Linked DNA regions of Notamacropus eugenii. The protein of the gene in region 1 purifies or fractionates together with the protein of each later gene. This does not show direct contact. Links are inferred from orthologs where the notes say so. Each region holds a gene or a part of one and is shown on either strand. Other genes may lie near its edges.

Region 1 (7,824 bases):
CCAACCATTCTGGAGAACAATCTCAAACTATGCCCACAGGGCTATAAAACTGCAATAACACTACTAGACCTGTACCCCAAGAAAAAGGAAAAAAGAACACTACGTACAAAAATATTTACAGCAGCTCTTTTTGTGGTGGCAAAGAATTAGAAATAGAGGGGATGCTCATCAATTGAGGAATAGATGAACAAGTTGTGGTTTATGATTGTGATGGCATACTATAAGAAATGGGGGGGGGGGGTTTCAGAAAAACATGGCAAGACCTAGATGAACTGAAGCAAAATGAAGAGAGAAGAACTGGGAGATCCTGTATATAGTAACTGCAGTGTTATAATGATGATATAACACTGTGAAAGACACTGTGATCCAAGATAATTTCAAAGCACTCAAGTTGAAAAAATGCTAGCCACCTCCAGAGAGAGAAGTGATGAATTCTGAGTGCAAACTGGAATAAAATTTTCTTGTTTTAATTTTTTTGGCATTTTTTTATGATATGGCTAATAGGGAAATATGTTTTGTATAATTTCACATATATAATTGATATCATATTGTTTGCCTTCATAGTGTGTGGGGGAGGGATGAGAGGGAGAGAGAAAATCTGAAACTAAAAATTTAAAAAGAAAATAAACTAATTAAATAATACATTTTTTCAAATTTCTGGAAAAAATTAGTGAAGGCCCTAAAGCACAGATAATGAAACATACCTGCTTCAGTATGGCAGGAGTTGGCAGTCACTAAGACAGAATATTGGATATATATACATATTCAAACTCAGTCACTGTTATCAGATTTTTCTGCTTGATTTTTTTTTTTGTCACAGCCAACCTCACTTTCCCCTCCCCACATATAGGTGGCCTCACTCTTTGTCAAGAGCAGCCCCCTACGTGCTTCCTAGATCTCATCCCATCTTTGTCTCCTCCAGCTCAGTGAACCTTTAGTCAATTCCCTTCTTAGCCTTTCTCTATTAGTTTCTTCTCTACTGCCTACAAACATGTCCAATTCTCCCCTATACTTAAAAAAAACCTTTTATTAGATCCTACCAATCTCCCCTCAAGCTACTGTCCTTTTTCTCCTCCACTTCTCAGCCAAATTCTTCTCCTCTTACACTTCAGCCTTTGTATTCTGGCTTCTAACCTCATCACTCAACTGAAACTGTCCCCTCCAAAGTTTGTGGTCATTTTTCATTCAAGTCTAACTTCTCCAAACCCTATTTTGGTTTTCTTGGCAAAGATACAAGAGTGGTTTGCCAATCCCTTCTCCAGCTCATTTTACAGATGAGTAAACTGAGGTAAACAGGGTTAAGTGACTTGGCCAGGGTCACACAGTTAGTGTGTCTTGAGCTCAAGAAGATGACTCTTCCTAATTTCAGGCAGAACACTCTATCCAGTGCACCACCAAGCTGCCCTAAATTACCAATGATCTTTCAACTGCCAAATCTGATGGTCTTTTCAGTCTTTCTATGTCTTTCTCCTGGTTCTTCTATTTGTCTGACCACTCCTCAGTCTCCTTTAGTGAATTATCATCTATCTTAGGCTTCCCCCCAATTGTAGGTATTCCCTAAGGCAGAATCACTTTTCTCCCTTTACAATTTATCTCCCACAATTTAACTATCATCCCTCTCTAAATTACTCCCAGATCTATATAACAAGCCCCAGTCTCCCTGGCATCAGTCCCACATCAGCTATTAGATACCTCAAACAACATGTCCAAAACGGAATGCATCATCTTTCCTCCCCAATCCCCTCTTTTTCCAAATTTCCCTATTTCAGTCAGACACTATCATCCTTCTAATCTCCCAGATTTGTAACCCCTGTGTTATCCTCACTCAACCCCTCATTCCCCCTCACCTGACATCCATTCAGTTGCCAAATTATGGCATTCTACAATCACAAACAACTCTCACATTCTCAGACCCCTATCTCCACTCACTATCACTTCAGTTCTGGTACTCACCACCTCTCACCTTGATTATCAATAACAATGAACCCAAAACTATTTCCTGCAACCTAAATCACATCAACTCCTATATCTTGCCTTCCAGTGTACCTTAAACTACTTCCAGTACCCCTATCTACATCCCACTATTACACCTATCTGAATCTCTCAACATACCTTCACATAAACTACTCTCCATTCAAATCATCCCTACACATGAAGTGACTTCACCAAAGTATACTGCATACACAAACTATTCTATAATTCCAAGTCACTTTGTCCCACTGCACCCCCACATACTAAAATGATTCTTCCATACCCTCAAATTCCCTCCACCCTAAACTCTAACCCTGCAACCCCCAATCACTCAAGTCTTTGACCTCAACTCCCCATATCCCCAAACTACATCCCTACCACCTCATGCCTGGGCTATTGCAATAGCCTGCCCTTGGTCTCCATGCCTCAAGTCTCTCCCCCACACAAATACACCACTCATCTGTCCAAGTGACTTTCCTAAATTGCCTATTGTCCCCTCCCCAATAATCTCCAGTCTTCCTATTGCCTCCAGAATCAAATATAAAATCCTGTTTGGCTCTTCAAAGGCCCCCATAACCTGGCCTCTTCCGAGCTGTCCAGTCTTCTTACATCTTACACCCACCACTTGCAAGCCAGAGACCCTGGCCTCCTTGTGTCTTTTCTCAGATGACTCCGAGAATCTTCAAGGAACTCTTTAACTCTTTGTCTCCAAACCCCTAACTAGCCCTCCCTATGAAGCACACTGCCCCTCAAAATCATCCCCTCACCCCAGAATTACACGCACAAATCATTTCTTGTCTTGAAGTACCCCCATACTCAAATCACTCCCACCTGAAAGTCACACACACACACACACACACACACACCCCTAAACTACCCGAAACCTGATTCATCACTCCACCATAAATTCCCCTAATTAGCTCCTCACCCCAAACTACCTCTATGTCCCCCTGAACTGTTTACACCCCTAAATCATCTTTTTCGCCCTACACTACTGCTACACCCCAAGCACCCCTTCGCTCTATATCACCCCTACACTTCCACTTCATTCCTTTACCCTAAACTACCCCATCCCCAAATCACCCCTTCACCCAAAGCTACCTCTACACCCCCAAATTATCCCTCTCCTTAAACTACACCTACACACGCAAACATCCCCTTCTCTGAAGTATCTCAGCCCCTCCCAACCTCACCTGGCCCTAAAGCACCCCACAAATTACCCTCACACTGACCTCCATCCCTTTTCATCACCCCCAATTCAAACTATTCAGCACCCCGAATCCTATCTACCATCCCCAGGGACCCCCCAAAAAGCTGGTCCCAAACTACTTCTCACGAACTAAGCCCCACCCCCCTTGGCGCGGACCCCGCGGGGCCGCCGAGCCTGCGCCCCCCGTGCGGCGGCCGCCCTCTACCCGCCCGCCGAGGCCCACCTGCTGCCGTTGAGCCCCACTGGCAGGGTGGCGTCCTCCCCCGGCACCGAGTCCATGGCGACGGCAGCGGCTGGCTGCGGCTCCCCGGGCCAGGCGGGGCCTTCCCCCGCTCCACCCGCGGAGCCGATCGTCCAGACTCCTCTGGCGCCGCTAGAATTCAAACCCCAAGCCACCGCCCCCGCCCCGCCAGCACCGCCATCTTCCTGGGCCTTTTTTCAGTCTTTTTTTTCTTTTGACGGCTTTCTCCGGAAATGAGGCGGGGCTTCCGCGCTTCCCCTGAAGCCAAAGAGGCGGGGCCAGGATGAGGGCTGTCCCGAGGAAATCCCAGAGGGCGCCATATTAACTGAGGGCAAAGGGCCGCGGTCCAGGCAAGGGTAGGGCAGCCGCCATCATAGCTGAGGGCACATTCCGCCGCGGACACTGTGGGGCTGCCATGTCACTTAAGGGCAGTCGGGCTTCTGCGTCGAGCTCGTTTCAAAAGAACTAAAGGAGCCCGCGCTCTGACCAACTTAGATTTCTGGGCGCAAAATTTGTCCTGAGCTACACTAGGTTGAAAAGTCTTAGCTTCTGGAAATGAGTGTAACTTATTCCAAATGACCTCATATGCAAAAAATCTGGCACTGACCTTAAGTTAGATCGGGGGACAGCCTCGCTTTAAGAAAACTTGATGTACGGAATCCAGACAATAAAACAAATGAAGGTGGACAAGGAGCCAAGACTACTTATTTTACAAAAAAAAATCATTTCCTTGAAATACTCAAACTTGCTTAGATAATGAGTAAATATGATAATCATTGATTGTATGGGAGTAGTTTTTATTATTTAGACTGGAGAAGAAAAAACTTAGAAATGGTCTGGTCTAAAATTTTCCTTTTTTACATACAAGGGTGCCTAGGCTCCCCTGAAGGGAAGTCATGCATTTAATAAATAACAAAACCTGAACTTGAACACAAGTTCTCCTGACTCCAAATTCTATCTTCTTTCCATTGCTGCACAATCTTTCCTTTCCATGGTCAGGAAAATAACTGACTAGAGATTAGGAACGCAGAAGGTAAAGGAAAAAGGGGAATGTATGCCCAGCTGAAGACAGAATTCCAGAGAATAGTAAGGAGAGATAAGATTTTCTTAAATGAGAATGTGAAGAAATCAACAGAATGAGAAAAACAAATGATCTCCAAGAAAATTAGAGCTTTTGAGGGAACGTGCCGTGCAAAAACGGGCATGGTAAAAGATAAAAACGATAAGGATTTAACAGAAACAGAAAAGATGAAGAAAAGGTGACAAGAATACATAAAAGAACTATGCAAGAAAGATCTTACCATCACCAATAGCCACAGTGGTATGATTACAGATCTAAAGCCAGACATCCTAGAGAATGAAGTCAAGTGGGCCTTAGGAAGTATTTTTAACAATAAGGCCGAGATGATAGAAATCTAGCTAAGCTAGATCAATTTATTTCCCAATCCTAAAGAAGGGCAATGCCAAGGAATTTTCAGATAACCAAACAATTACACTCGTTTCACATACCAGCAAGGTTATGCTTAAGATTCAGCAAGCTAAGCTTCAACAATATGTGAACTGAGAATTACCAGAAGAGCAAACTTGTTTTCAAAGAGACAGAGGAACTAGAAACTAAATTGCCAAAATTGGTTGGATTATGGAGAAAAGCAAGGGAGTTCCAGAAAAACATCTCCTTCTGCTTCATTGACTATATCAAAAACCTTGACTGAGTAGATCACAACACAAGTTGAGGCAAGACCTCAAAGAGATTACCAGATCATCTGTTTTGTCTCTTGAGGAACCTCTAAGGGAGCTAAGAAGCAACAGTTAGAATTAAACATGGAACAACTGCTTGGTTTAAGACAGGGAGTCAGATAAATCAGAAACTGGAATTAAAGATACTGGAAGAAATATCAACAATCTCAGATATGCAGATGCAACCACTCTGATGGCAAAAAGTGAAGAGGAATTAAGATGCCTCTTGATGAAGGTGAAAGAGGAGAGTAGAAAAGCTGGCTTGAAACTCAATATTAAAAAAAAATTAAGATCTTGGCAATTGGTCTCATCAGTTCCTGGCAAATATAGAGGGAGAAGAAATGGAAGTGGTGTCACATTTCACATATTCTTAAGCTCAACGATCTCTGCAGACAGAAACTGCATCTATGAAATTAAAAGACACTTGCTCTTTGGAAGCAAAGCTATGGCGAATCTGGACAGCATACTAAAAAGCAGAGATATTACATTACCAACAAAGGTCTGTATAGTCAAAGCTCTAGTTTTTCCAATAGCAATGTGTGGCTATGAAGTGAACTATATGTAAGGAAAGCTGAGTGCTGCAGATAGATGCTTTCCACTTGTGGTACTGGAGAACACTTTTGAGAGTCACTTGGATAGCAAGGAGGTCAAATCAGTTAATAGTCAAAGAAATTAATTCAGGCTGTTCACTCGAAGGTCAAATACTGAAGCTGAAACTTAATTACTTTGGCCATACAATGAGAAGATGGGAGTCACTGGAAAAGACCCTGATGTTGGGAAAGATTGAAGGCAAAAGGAAAAGGAAACAGCAAAGGATGTAATGGATAGATGGTATCTTGGAAACAATGAATTAACGTGGACAGACTTCAAGAGAAAGTGAAGGATATGGTGCATGAGATCTCAAAGAGTCAAATGCACCTGAACAAGAGAGATTTGAAGCCAGGCGTCACCTGTTTCTAGATTCATTGCTGTGTTCACTACTTCATGCTACCGCTCAGTATATAGTTCTATCCTTACTGCATTTGAAATGGGATATTCTACTTACAGAAATTCAACTTACACAACTTTTTAGGAAGACAGATGTTGTATAATACAAGGTCCACTCCTACAATACTCCAGTAGAATATGCCTTTCAGCACACTAAGTAAAAATAGCTTGTCTACATATAGTTTTCCAAAACATTTTCTGACAACAGACTCATCAGGTAAGTAATTGTTATCCTGGTTTTAGAGTTGAAGAGATTGAGATACAGAGAGGAGAAGTGTCTTGCCTAAAGTCATTCTTCATTAATTTGATTAACACATTTTTTCTTTGTGAATGGTGAAAAGGTAATATCTGGGGTCATATAATATGAATGAATGGAATCCAAAATTAATGAACTTTATATAACATTATTATTTTCTCTTCAATAAATAAACATTTCATTGAATGGCTATGTGCTTGAGAATATCACAGAAATAACCAGGTTGTAATTTAAGACTTATCTACCTCAACAAAAGATGAGATGCCTACTTCCCAGGTATGCTGTAAAAAACAATAAAAAAAAAAAAAACATCAAACCTATGGTATTTGTTGAGGGCCTCTGGTGATACAGAGGATCATTAGATCATAGGTGTAGGGCTGGAAGGGACCTTAGAGGTCATTGAATTCAACCGTCTCATTTTCAGATGAGGAAACTGAGTCCCAGGAAAGCTAAGTGACTTGCCCTGGGTTACACAGCTAGTATATTTCTGAGCAGAATTTGAACCCAGGCCTTCCTGACTCCGAGTCTAGTACTCTATGAATTGTATCTTGCAGATTGTTGTAAGGATCAGATAAAGTATTAAAGGTTGAAAATCTTAAAAGACCATATCTATATCTATATAGATGTATATGTTAGCTATTATGCTATATAATTGGTAGCTATTAAATAAATACTACACTGCTGCAAAAAGTTATGTAGTAGTAAGACTTCTACTAGAAACCCTACTAACCCCAAGTTCTTTAGAGAAAGCCTGGTATAGATGACCCTCTAATGCTTGGGTTAGATTTTTTTGGTTGGTGTTTCAAGATGGATGTGGTGGTTAAATGCTATCACTATAACTACTTCCTCTTCATTCCCCCACTGAAAATCTGAGATGGTTCTGTAAGGCTGATGATGGGATGCCTTAATCCTGATAAGTTAAATTCATTTGTGTGAGGGAAAGTTAAAGAGTCTGACCTATTCCTCCAAGGCTGATCTGATGAAACCCAATACCTTCCCTCCAAAGAGAGAAAAGGATGAGACAACAGGTGAAGGAAGATGGATGGGAGAAGCTAGCCCTAGGAGAGCATATTGTTCATTGATCGTCAAGGGGGTTGATCTAGGGCCTCATTGAGAGGCTGAGGAGAGAAGAATTATAGCTCTGCTTGGTGTTTTTTTTCTAAAATGGATAATACTCCATGTAAAATATTCCACAGAAATCACAGAATTCCTGAGTTCAAAGGATTTTCAAAGGTTATCTAGCCAAACCCTTAACTGAACAGAAAGCTAGTCTTTCCACAGTATAGATTAAGACTTAGAAAGAAATGTTAGTCACAAAAGAATAAACAGCTGGCACTTTAAGTTCTGCTTAAGCAAAGCCGTACATCCTAATTCATCCTTATTCAATTATGTGAAACTTTAATAGTTCAGAACACAATTAGA
Region 2 (8,420 bases), on another chromosome or scaffold:
GCCCAATTTCACAGATGATCTTACTGATCACATCAGGACCATGGGGGATAAACCCCACCCTGGGTGTACAGATTCCTGACTGAGCCAGCAGTGATTCCAACGGCACGTTTCCTGGGGCATGTCCTTCACAGGTCAGGAGTAAGAGAAATGTCACTTTGCTGTGCTGTTTGTCCTTCCTTGTTGAAGCAGACCATGACATCAAGATGATGGCATCACTTGCAGTTGACCTTGTTTTGAGTGAGAGGGCTGTGCAGGATCACCAGCCTTACTTTCTTCTCCTGAGCCATTGGGGTCCAGTGGCCTGATATTCATCAGGATAACTGGAGATGACCCCGAAACTTCACACGCTCATATGGAAATGTGCTTTTCTATACTGACATGCTTTCCTGCCTTCTGAAGCTGGCCTCTGCTGCTCTGCCCGGCTTCAGGTGAGGAGCCATACCCAGAGGATAGTGTTAACCTGGAAGGCATTCCAACCCCACCCAGGCACAGCTCCTCCAGGAAGGCAGGACTCTTGGAATCCTGAACAAAAAAAGAACTCGGGGGAGGCCCAGGCCCATGACTGAGGGCACTGCCTGGAGAGGGGTGAGCTTGGGAGCCTTTGTTTCTCTCCTGTATCTCCAGTGCTTTGCCTGACACACACACAGAAGATACTTAACAAATGAGATCATGGAAAATGCTGAATAAGTGTAAAGGCTGATTATGCTTACTAGTCATTACCTATATAGCATGGATTCACTTTTCATAATTTATAATATTCATATAGGCAGCAGGGTGGTCCAGTGTGTACAGAGCCTGACCTGGAGACAGGAAGATCCCAGTTCAAATCCAGTCTCTGATGTACTAGCTGGGTGACCCTGGGAAAGTCACCTAACTCTGTTTCCCTCATTTTCCTCATCTGTATGATGAGCTAGGGAAGAAAATGGCAAACACTACGGTGTCTCTGCTAAGAAAACCCCAAATGGGATCACAGAGAGCCGTTCATGGACCAAAACAACTGGACAACAAGAAACAGAGAGTTTGATCAGTAGAACAGCATAAATGTACAATATGCTGAAGCAAATGAGGCAGCTGCCTAGTATCTGAGAAACCCAAAGATCCTGGCTACTTGGCTAGCAACTCACGATTCAATAAAAAACTATTAGGAAAACTGGAAAGAAGCCTGGTAGAAACGAGGTCTAGATCAGAGGTGGTCCCAGACCAGATGAAAATTTAACTGGGAAATACTTAACAAAATAAATAAAGATACCTGGCATGGGTGATGTCTTTTGATTCATGTATAAATTGGATTTAAGTGAGGTAGAGCTGCACAAAGTCATAGGCCTTACTCTGTCCTCCAGTCAACACAGTCCATTGGCAGGATGACTGGTGATGGCTCTGGATGCAGTGGATGACTTTAGTGTCTTTGTTTTCTGACCAGCCTCCCAACCTTCCAACCAAGCCATTGGAAGAAATTGTTCTCATTCGCCCATCCCATCAGGGGAAGTCTTCACATGCTTGGGGCAGAGCCCCCCAAGCTCACCGATGGGTTTGAGGCTGGTTGGTTAACCTCAGCCTGGTTTGGCCCATATGCCAAAATGATTTACTGGGGTGTGGATGCTGTGCATGCTACAGTTTCTTGGAGCCACAGGTGAGAGTTAGATGGATCACGTAGACACTGAAGGTGGAAGAAGCCCTCACACCAGAGGTCCTAGTCTTCCCTGAACACACCATTACATTTGAAAACTGCCAATATGCACGCTGCAGGGATTCTTCTATTCAGATTAATGGCCCCCACTTCTATCTGAGTTTGCCAGCCCTGGTCTAGACCAACACCTCCCACTATACCCCATGACAAGTTCCAAACAGGTGAGTGACAGCTATAGAAGAGGCACCATGAACAAATTAAAGAAGCAAGGAAGCACTTACCTGCTAGATCGATTGATAGGGGAAGAGTTCAGGACCGAATCCTCTCCAGAGGATCACAGAAGAGAAAATGGACAATTTTGATTACATAAGAAGAAAAAGCTTTTGCAGAAACAAAACCAATTCAGCTAAAGTGAGAAGAGAAGCAGGTAAGTGGGAAAGAGATCTTCTGAACCAGGTTTGCAGCAAGTTCCTCTGATAAAGGTCTCATTTCTAAGATATACAGTGAACTGTTTCAAATTTCTAATAAGACTCATTTCCCCAGTACATAGTCAAAGCAAAGACAGTTTTCAGAGGAAGAAATTGAAACTATCAATAGCAACATGAAAAGTCCTTGAAATGACTAATAATTAGATCAATGCAAATGAAAACAGCTCCTACTCTGACATTTACTCTGTAGGGTTCTCTGCGGAATGAGTGAGTTCAACTTTGTCAACCCAAACGATGGCCACTGGAGAGCACAAGTTAGGGCCTTCCAGGCGGAGTCTAGAACCCTATGGGCACCAGAGACCATATGGACCAAGCTCCTCCTTTTACAGATGAGGAAACTTAAGGCCCCTGTGACTTTCTCATAAGACAGCCCCAATACTTTTCCATATGGCATCTCCTCAGGATAATTAATCCCTGATGCAGCTTATAGAGAGTTCCTTAGCGTGAAAGACATTGAGTTAAGTTTCCACAGTAAGTTATTGTTAATTGATGAAGTCATTGAGAATAAGTTAGATAAGAAGGCCAGCAGACTGCAGGTAAACTCAATCAACCAAAAGACAGACGGTGGCCTTCAGAAAATTACAAAGTTTTTGATAAAGGCACCAAATCTACAGCTAGCTGGAACTAGCCAAGAAAAATGACCTACAGTTACCTGGAGGCCTCATGCATATAAGCAGACACACCCCAAATAAAATTATACCTCCATTTTCTGATCATGGGTCCTATGATAAAGCATGTTTGGGAGGGGGAATCACACTAAGGAAGGTTATGTATTGGGCATGTAGAGAAGATGGTGACCTAATGGAGAATGGACCAATCCATCTTCTGGTGGAAGGATCTGTCTTGGAGTAACAGTATATAGCTCATCTCCCTTCTGTATTCAGTGCTCCCTCCTCTTGAAAAGAGGGTGGGGGCCCGCTTTGGCCAAAGTGTTCAATTCCTCTGAACTCTGCTGTAATATTTCCTTGATACCTTTTTAGTGTCACAAATGTTTCTAACATTAGCTTATAAGCTACTTAAGAGCAGGGACTTTCTTCTGCCTTCTTTGTATCCCCAGTGCCTGGCACATAAAAAGCATTTTTTCCTCAGAAGCCTGTGATGCCTATGGTTTGTTGATTACTGCTATCTTCATTTTACCAAGGGGGAAACCAGGCTCAGAGAGGGAGAGTGACTTTCCTGTGATCACACAGGTTTGCAAGTTAATTAGCATTTTCTGCATGTTAGGTATTGTGCCAAATTCTGAAAGCGGAAACGCAGCCCCTGACCTTTAGGAGCTCAGAAGGTGGGTTTTTAGCTGAGATTTAAGGAAGGTGAGGGGCAGGGAAGCCAGGCAAGTAAGGTCAAGTATTATAGGTATAAAAGAGCCAATGTCAAGATATGGAGGTGAGAGATAGAGAGAAACAGAGTCAATGGATCGTGGAGGATGGAAAGCACTAAGGTATAAGGAGACTGAAAAGGTGATGGTGGGGGTGTGGGGTCTAACACCTTGGCAGGGCTTTCAAAGCCCACACGATGTTTTGCATTGGCTTCAGGAGTGAACCACGGAGGTATCCTGACCAGTGGCAGCAGGTGGGGATGCACTGAGTCAGGGAGGCGGGTAAGAAGGTGGTGAGGCAGGGCCAGGCAGTCACCAGGGTTAGGCAGTGGGGACAAGCAGACTTAGCCTGGGAAGGGAGGAAGACACATAGGACATGTTGGCTACCAGTGGAGTGTACGGGGACTGAGGGGCTGGAGGGTCCTGCCCTGGAGAACCCAGGGCAGAGGGGAGATCCCTTTGAAAGCCTACAGGATGTCCAGGGATGCGGCCCCAGGTGGCAGGAAAGAGAGTGGGGCTGGACACACAGACCTGGGGATCACTGGCATGGAGAAGAGAACCGACCCCACAGGAGGGGAGAGAGCAGAGCAGGAAGTGCCCTCTATCAGGTGCATGCATGGAGGGCACGGGGAGGCATGAACTTACAGTGGAAAAAAACAACCTTCAGTTATTTAAAAACATTATTCTGAGAAAGGGTCCATTGGCTTCATTGGACTGCGGACCTCACCCACAGCCTTGTCAGTGGTTGAAGATCCAGACAAGGGGCCTGAGAGGAGGAGGATGGTGTCCTGGAGGGGGATGGACAGTGTCCTGGGGAGTTTGGACAGTATCCCCGGTTAATGAGAGATCTGAGAAGGGGCTGCCCCAGAAGTGGTCGTGGGAGGGGGGAAGCACGCCCCCTCCAGGGCACGTGTGGACATTCCACACCTGCGGCCCCTCCTGGCTGACCTGGCCTCAGCTTGGCCCCCCGGGGCCGAGGGGAAAGGGGCGGGGTGGATTGGTACCTTGGCCCCGCCCCCAAGCCGTCTCACTCCGCCCAGTCCCGGAGTTCCCGGGCTTCGGGCCCTGGCACAGATCCCAGCAGAGCCCCGAGGTCAGCCCGCCGCCTCAGTCTTTTTCCCGCCCGCGCCTCTGATTGGACAACGCGTTCCAGAGGCGCTAGGCGGGCCCTTTGAAATTGACCAAACAGAGGGCTCAGCTCGGTTGACGTCATAGCGCAGTAACCAATTCTTTCGTAAGGTAGGCGGAGCCTGGGCTGAGCGGAAAAAGGGAGGATACAGAGGCTAGCGGCCTGTCACTCAGAGCTGTACCAGGGCGGTTGGCTGGGAGGGGTCGGGTTTCCAGAAGAGCGCCCCGCCCCGAGCCCATGATTGGCAGGGCAGACGCGGGACGCCGTTCGCTTGTTGGCCAGTGCAGGCGTCCATCTGTGGGAGGACGCCGATGGGCGTGGGCGGGTTGGAGAGCGCTCGGAGGGTGCCCGGACCCGCCCCCTCGCTCCCGGTCAGTTAGGGGGCGGGGCGGCCGTGTCAATACAGCGGCTGCAGAGGCGGCGGCGGCGGAGGGTCGCGTCCGCCCCTGGGCCACGCGCGTATCCTCGCCGGGCCATGGAGTACGACGAGCAAGAGGAGCGGCGGCGCAAGGTGGAGGCCGGCCGGGCTAAGGTAAGGCCGACCCTGGCCGCCGCGTGGGATCTTCCCCTCCCCACAGAGCGCGAAGCTCGGGAGCCTGGGGAGGGGCGGGAAACCTGCGGTCCTGGGGGAGTGGGAAGGGGCCGCCTAGCACCGAGCCCGCTAGCTTGGCGGTCCCCGATCCCCCATCCCCGCCGGGGCCGCGCCTCTCTCGCGGGCTCGCCCGAAATCTTCCGCCTCCTGGCCGCCGCCATCTTGAATCCACCGCTCTTTCCTCGGCCCCGCCCCCTGCCTCCTGGCCAGTCATCGCGGGGTGGAGGCGGGGCCAGGCCCTGGAGGCCGGGGGGGTGGGGTGGAGCCTGACCACCGAGTCTCCCGGTCCTCCGCCTGCTAGAAGGTCCCGGAAGTGTAGGATACTGGCCGGAAGCGGGCTCACGCATTTCCGGCCTCTCTGGGGGCCCACCCTCTGGGCTCCGGGCGTGGCTTGGGGCGGAGTTGAGGAGGGGGCGTGTGCCTCCACCTCGGAGTGACGCTAGGGGTTTAGTGTGCTGGCTTCTCTGTGCACAGATGGGGAAACTGAGGCCCGCCCACCTGGACAGCTTGGGGCGACCTCCCTCGATGTACAGATGGAGAAACTGAGGCTGCCCCAGGGGAGGCCCACCTGCGGAGCCTGGTTTCCCCAAAGCCGGGCCTGAGCGCCGCGGTCACCCCGAAACAGTGGCCCAATTTGGAGGCGGCCCGCGAGGGGTCAGTGCGAAGGAGCGAGCCCCCTTCCCCCCAGAGGCCCCTGGGACCTCAGTACTACCAAGGCCCAGGCCCCCAAGAGAGCAGGGCCTCCCTCCAGGCCTGTGCTCAGTGCCCGAGCAGGGCCGGCTTCCCTGGCTGTAGGAGGGAGGTCATGGCCCAGGGTGGGTGACCAGTGCGGCCTCCGAGCCCAGCTTGGGGCTGATGATGGCGGGTCTTGCACAGTTGAAATATTGGTGCAGATTCTGGCTCGCCACAAGCAGGCTAGTGGAAAAGGCTGATCTCAGCTCAGGGAGCTAAGGAGAGAGGGTTCTGATGGGTGACATGGTTTGGAGGTCCCTGGTGCTTTGTGCACCGGGATACTTCAGAAAAGTAGAGCATCTGATTCTTTCAAGGAGGAGAGGCAATTGACCCAGCTTAATGAATTTTTTGCTATTTCTGTAGATGTGGCTCAGAATCAGTGGCTCCAAGTTTGACTCCTGGTTTTCTGCTTTGGGGGCAGGGGGAGCAGGCGAATGAAAGGGCCCGACTCGCCTCTCAGTTCATTTCCATGCCTTGGCGAAGTTGATGACCACTTGATAACTTCCTGCCAGTGACCATAGCTAGCAGGCTGCTTGTCAGCTGTTACTTAATTCCCCTGACCTGTTTGTAGGGCCCCAATAACTTGGGGACTTGGATGTCATTTTCATTTCCATTAGAACCCTGCAGACGGCACCCTGCTGTTTTGGCTGGGGATGCCTTTGGTCAGGGCTGAGGCCTAAGTTGGCCACCTGGATCCTTGATAGCTAGGGAGTCCCCGTGGATTTTTATGCACAGTCCCATTAAGCCATTCCATGTTCTCTTCCACAGGGGTGTTCACTTTGTGGTCCTGTTACGGTTTTCTCACTTATCTCTGTCTCTACTATTTCTTAACCTTCTTGTGTAGCTTGCTCAGTTCCGACAAAGAAAAACAAAAGGCGACAGTTCGAGTTCGAAGAAAAAGGCGTCGAAGAGGAAGAGCACGGCTGTCCATGCGGCTGTCACGGAGAAGGAGGAGGAGTGCACGGTAACACCCCCAGACCTGGAGCAGAGTGTGGACAGCAGGGGGGACGGTGACTGTGCTGAGGGGAGAGCCAGCGCCCTGGAGGCCAAGGTGAAGTGGCTGGAGGAGGGTGGGCTGGGGCTCTTGGTTTGCGTTATGTTGTTGTGATGGTTCCTCTCCTTTTAACGCACTAACCTCCGTGTCTGGTCTGTTTTTGGCTGCCATAAGTGGGAGGATGGGTTTCTTGTTTCCACAAGGTGAGTGAGCGGTGTTCTTTGCCCTGATGTTTCATACCTTGGTGCCATGGTCATTTTGAGAAACTCTCGTAGGCCTCATCCTCAATTGTTTTAATAAATATTGAGAGAATTAACTATGCCAGTTATGGTAGAGTTTCTGCTTAATTCAAATTGAGAACTCTCTTGAAACTTTCCATGTCCCCCAAATGCCTCCCCTCTTCCATTTCCCTCCCATCTTACTGCCCTTGAAGTGAGTGGGAATCCAAGGCATCGCATGGAGTTACAGATGTAGATCTAACTTCAGTGGCCCGACATCTTCCTAGGGCATCCCAGCGCAGGCTCTGCAGGAGGAGGAGGAAATTCGTCCAAGGTGTTAAGCAGAAGAGAGAAAAGGGAATGAGCATCAACCAGTTGTGTGGGACGTGGTGGGGTAATTGCTGTGAGGAATTCCTGGGTTAAGGGCTTAGCCTCAGTTTGTGGATTCCTAATTGCCCTGGGTTTGAGGTCAGCAAGGACACACTTTGTGTGGTGGTATCTCTGTATGGCATGGAGTCTGAGTGGGCAGCATGTGGGAGGTGGGAGGTCCTCTCAAAACCCATAAAGAGAAGTCTGAAGAATTTGGCTGTTTAAAAACAGTAGGGGTGGTACATGGAACTGTGAATGTTGAAGATGCCAAAGAGAACCAAGAGAACATTTATGTGCAGAACTGTTGATGTCGGCATTCTGAAATGAAAATGGCTGCTTGTCACTGCTCTCTTGTCATCCAGTATATTGAGAGCATCTAGTTTCCAGAATTTCCCCTATTTCTAACTCTCCTTTCTTTCCTCTTACTTGTAGTGCAGATGTTTGATAAGTATTTGTAGAATAATTTTATCTCTGGAGAGGTCCTTTGGAGCCAGCATCCTTGACCACCTGTCTCTGATATATGAAAATTTCCCATTATTCTCCTTCTTCAGGAAATTTGGGTATCAGATTTGCGTAGGCAGTGGGAAAGCATGGGTCTGTGAATGGCACTAACTACCATCACATCCCAATTGGCAAGGAGAATGTGCCCTGGCCCTCCGCTGGGTGGTATGGGTCAGGAGCACCCTGGAAAGCCTGCAGCTGTCATTTGTTGTTAGGGAGCAGCATGGATTAGGTGGTGAAGGCATTGACTTTTCTGCTTTCTCCTTAATGCTTTCTTTGTCTCTTAATTGACAAGGCTGAGACGGAGCTTTCCAATCTGGGAACGCAGAAGAAGCCACTTACTGAATTAGCTGGACAGGAACAAATATTCAAAGTAAGAACATTGTTTTATTTCCTACATTCAGTGTGAGTGTGTGTCTGGACGACTCTAGGTGCATTAGGATTTTGGCAGCTGG

Evidence for each region.
Region 2: the proteins of CDK5RAP2 (region 1) and PCNT purify together in Homo sapiens (co-immunoprecipitation; 4 studies listed by BioGRID and IntAct, with this or other methods). This does not show direct contact. The link is inferred for Notamacropus eugenii from reciprocal best matches to the Homo sapiens genes CDK5RAP2 and PCNT.

The regions. Positions count from the first base shown.
Region 1 is NC_092872.1:441,127,378-441,135,201, forward strand, and holds the start of CDK5RAP2 (CDK5 regulatory subunit-associated protein 2), read right to left. Parts: upstream 3,636-7,824; 5' UTR 3,461-3,635; coding exon 3,405-3,460; intron 1-3,404. UniProt on the Homo sapiens protein: Potential regulator of CDK5 activity via its interaction with CDK5R1. Negative regulator of centriole disengagement (licensing) which maintains centriole engagement and cohesion. Involved in regulation of mitotic spindle orientation.
Region 2 is NC_092873.1:68,465,619-68,474,038, reverse strand, and holds the start of PCNT (pericentrin), read left to right. Parts: upstream 1-4,812; 5' UTR 4,813-5,034; coding exon 5,035-5,091; intron 5,092-6,727; coding exon 6,728-6,934; intron 6,935-8,260; coding exon 8,261-8,338; intron 8,339-8,420. UniProt on the Homo sapiens protein: Integral component of the filamentous matrix of the centrosome involved in the initial establishment of organized microtubule arrays in both mitosis and meiosis. Plays a role, together with DISC1, in the microtubule network formation.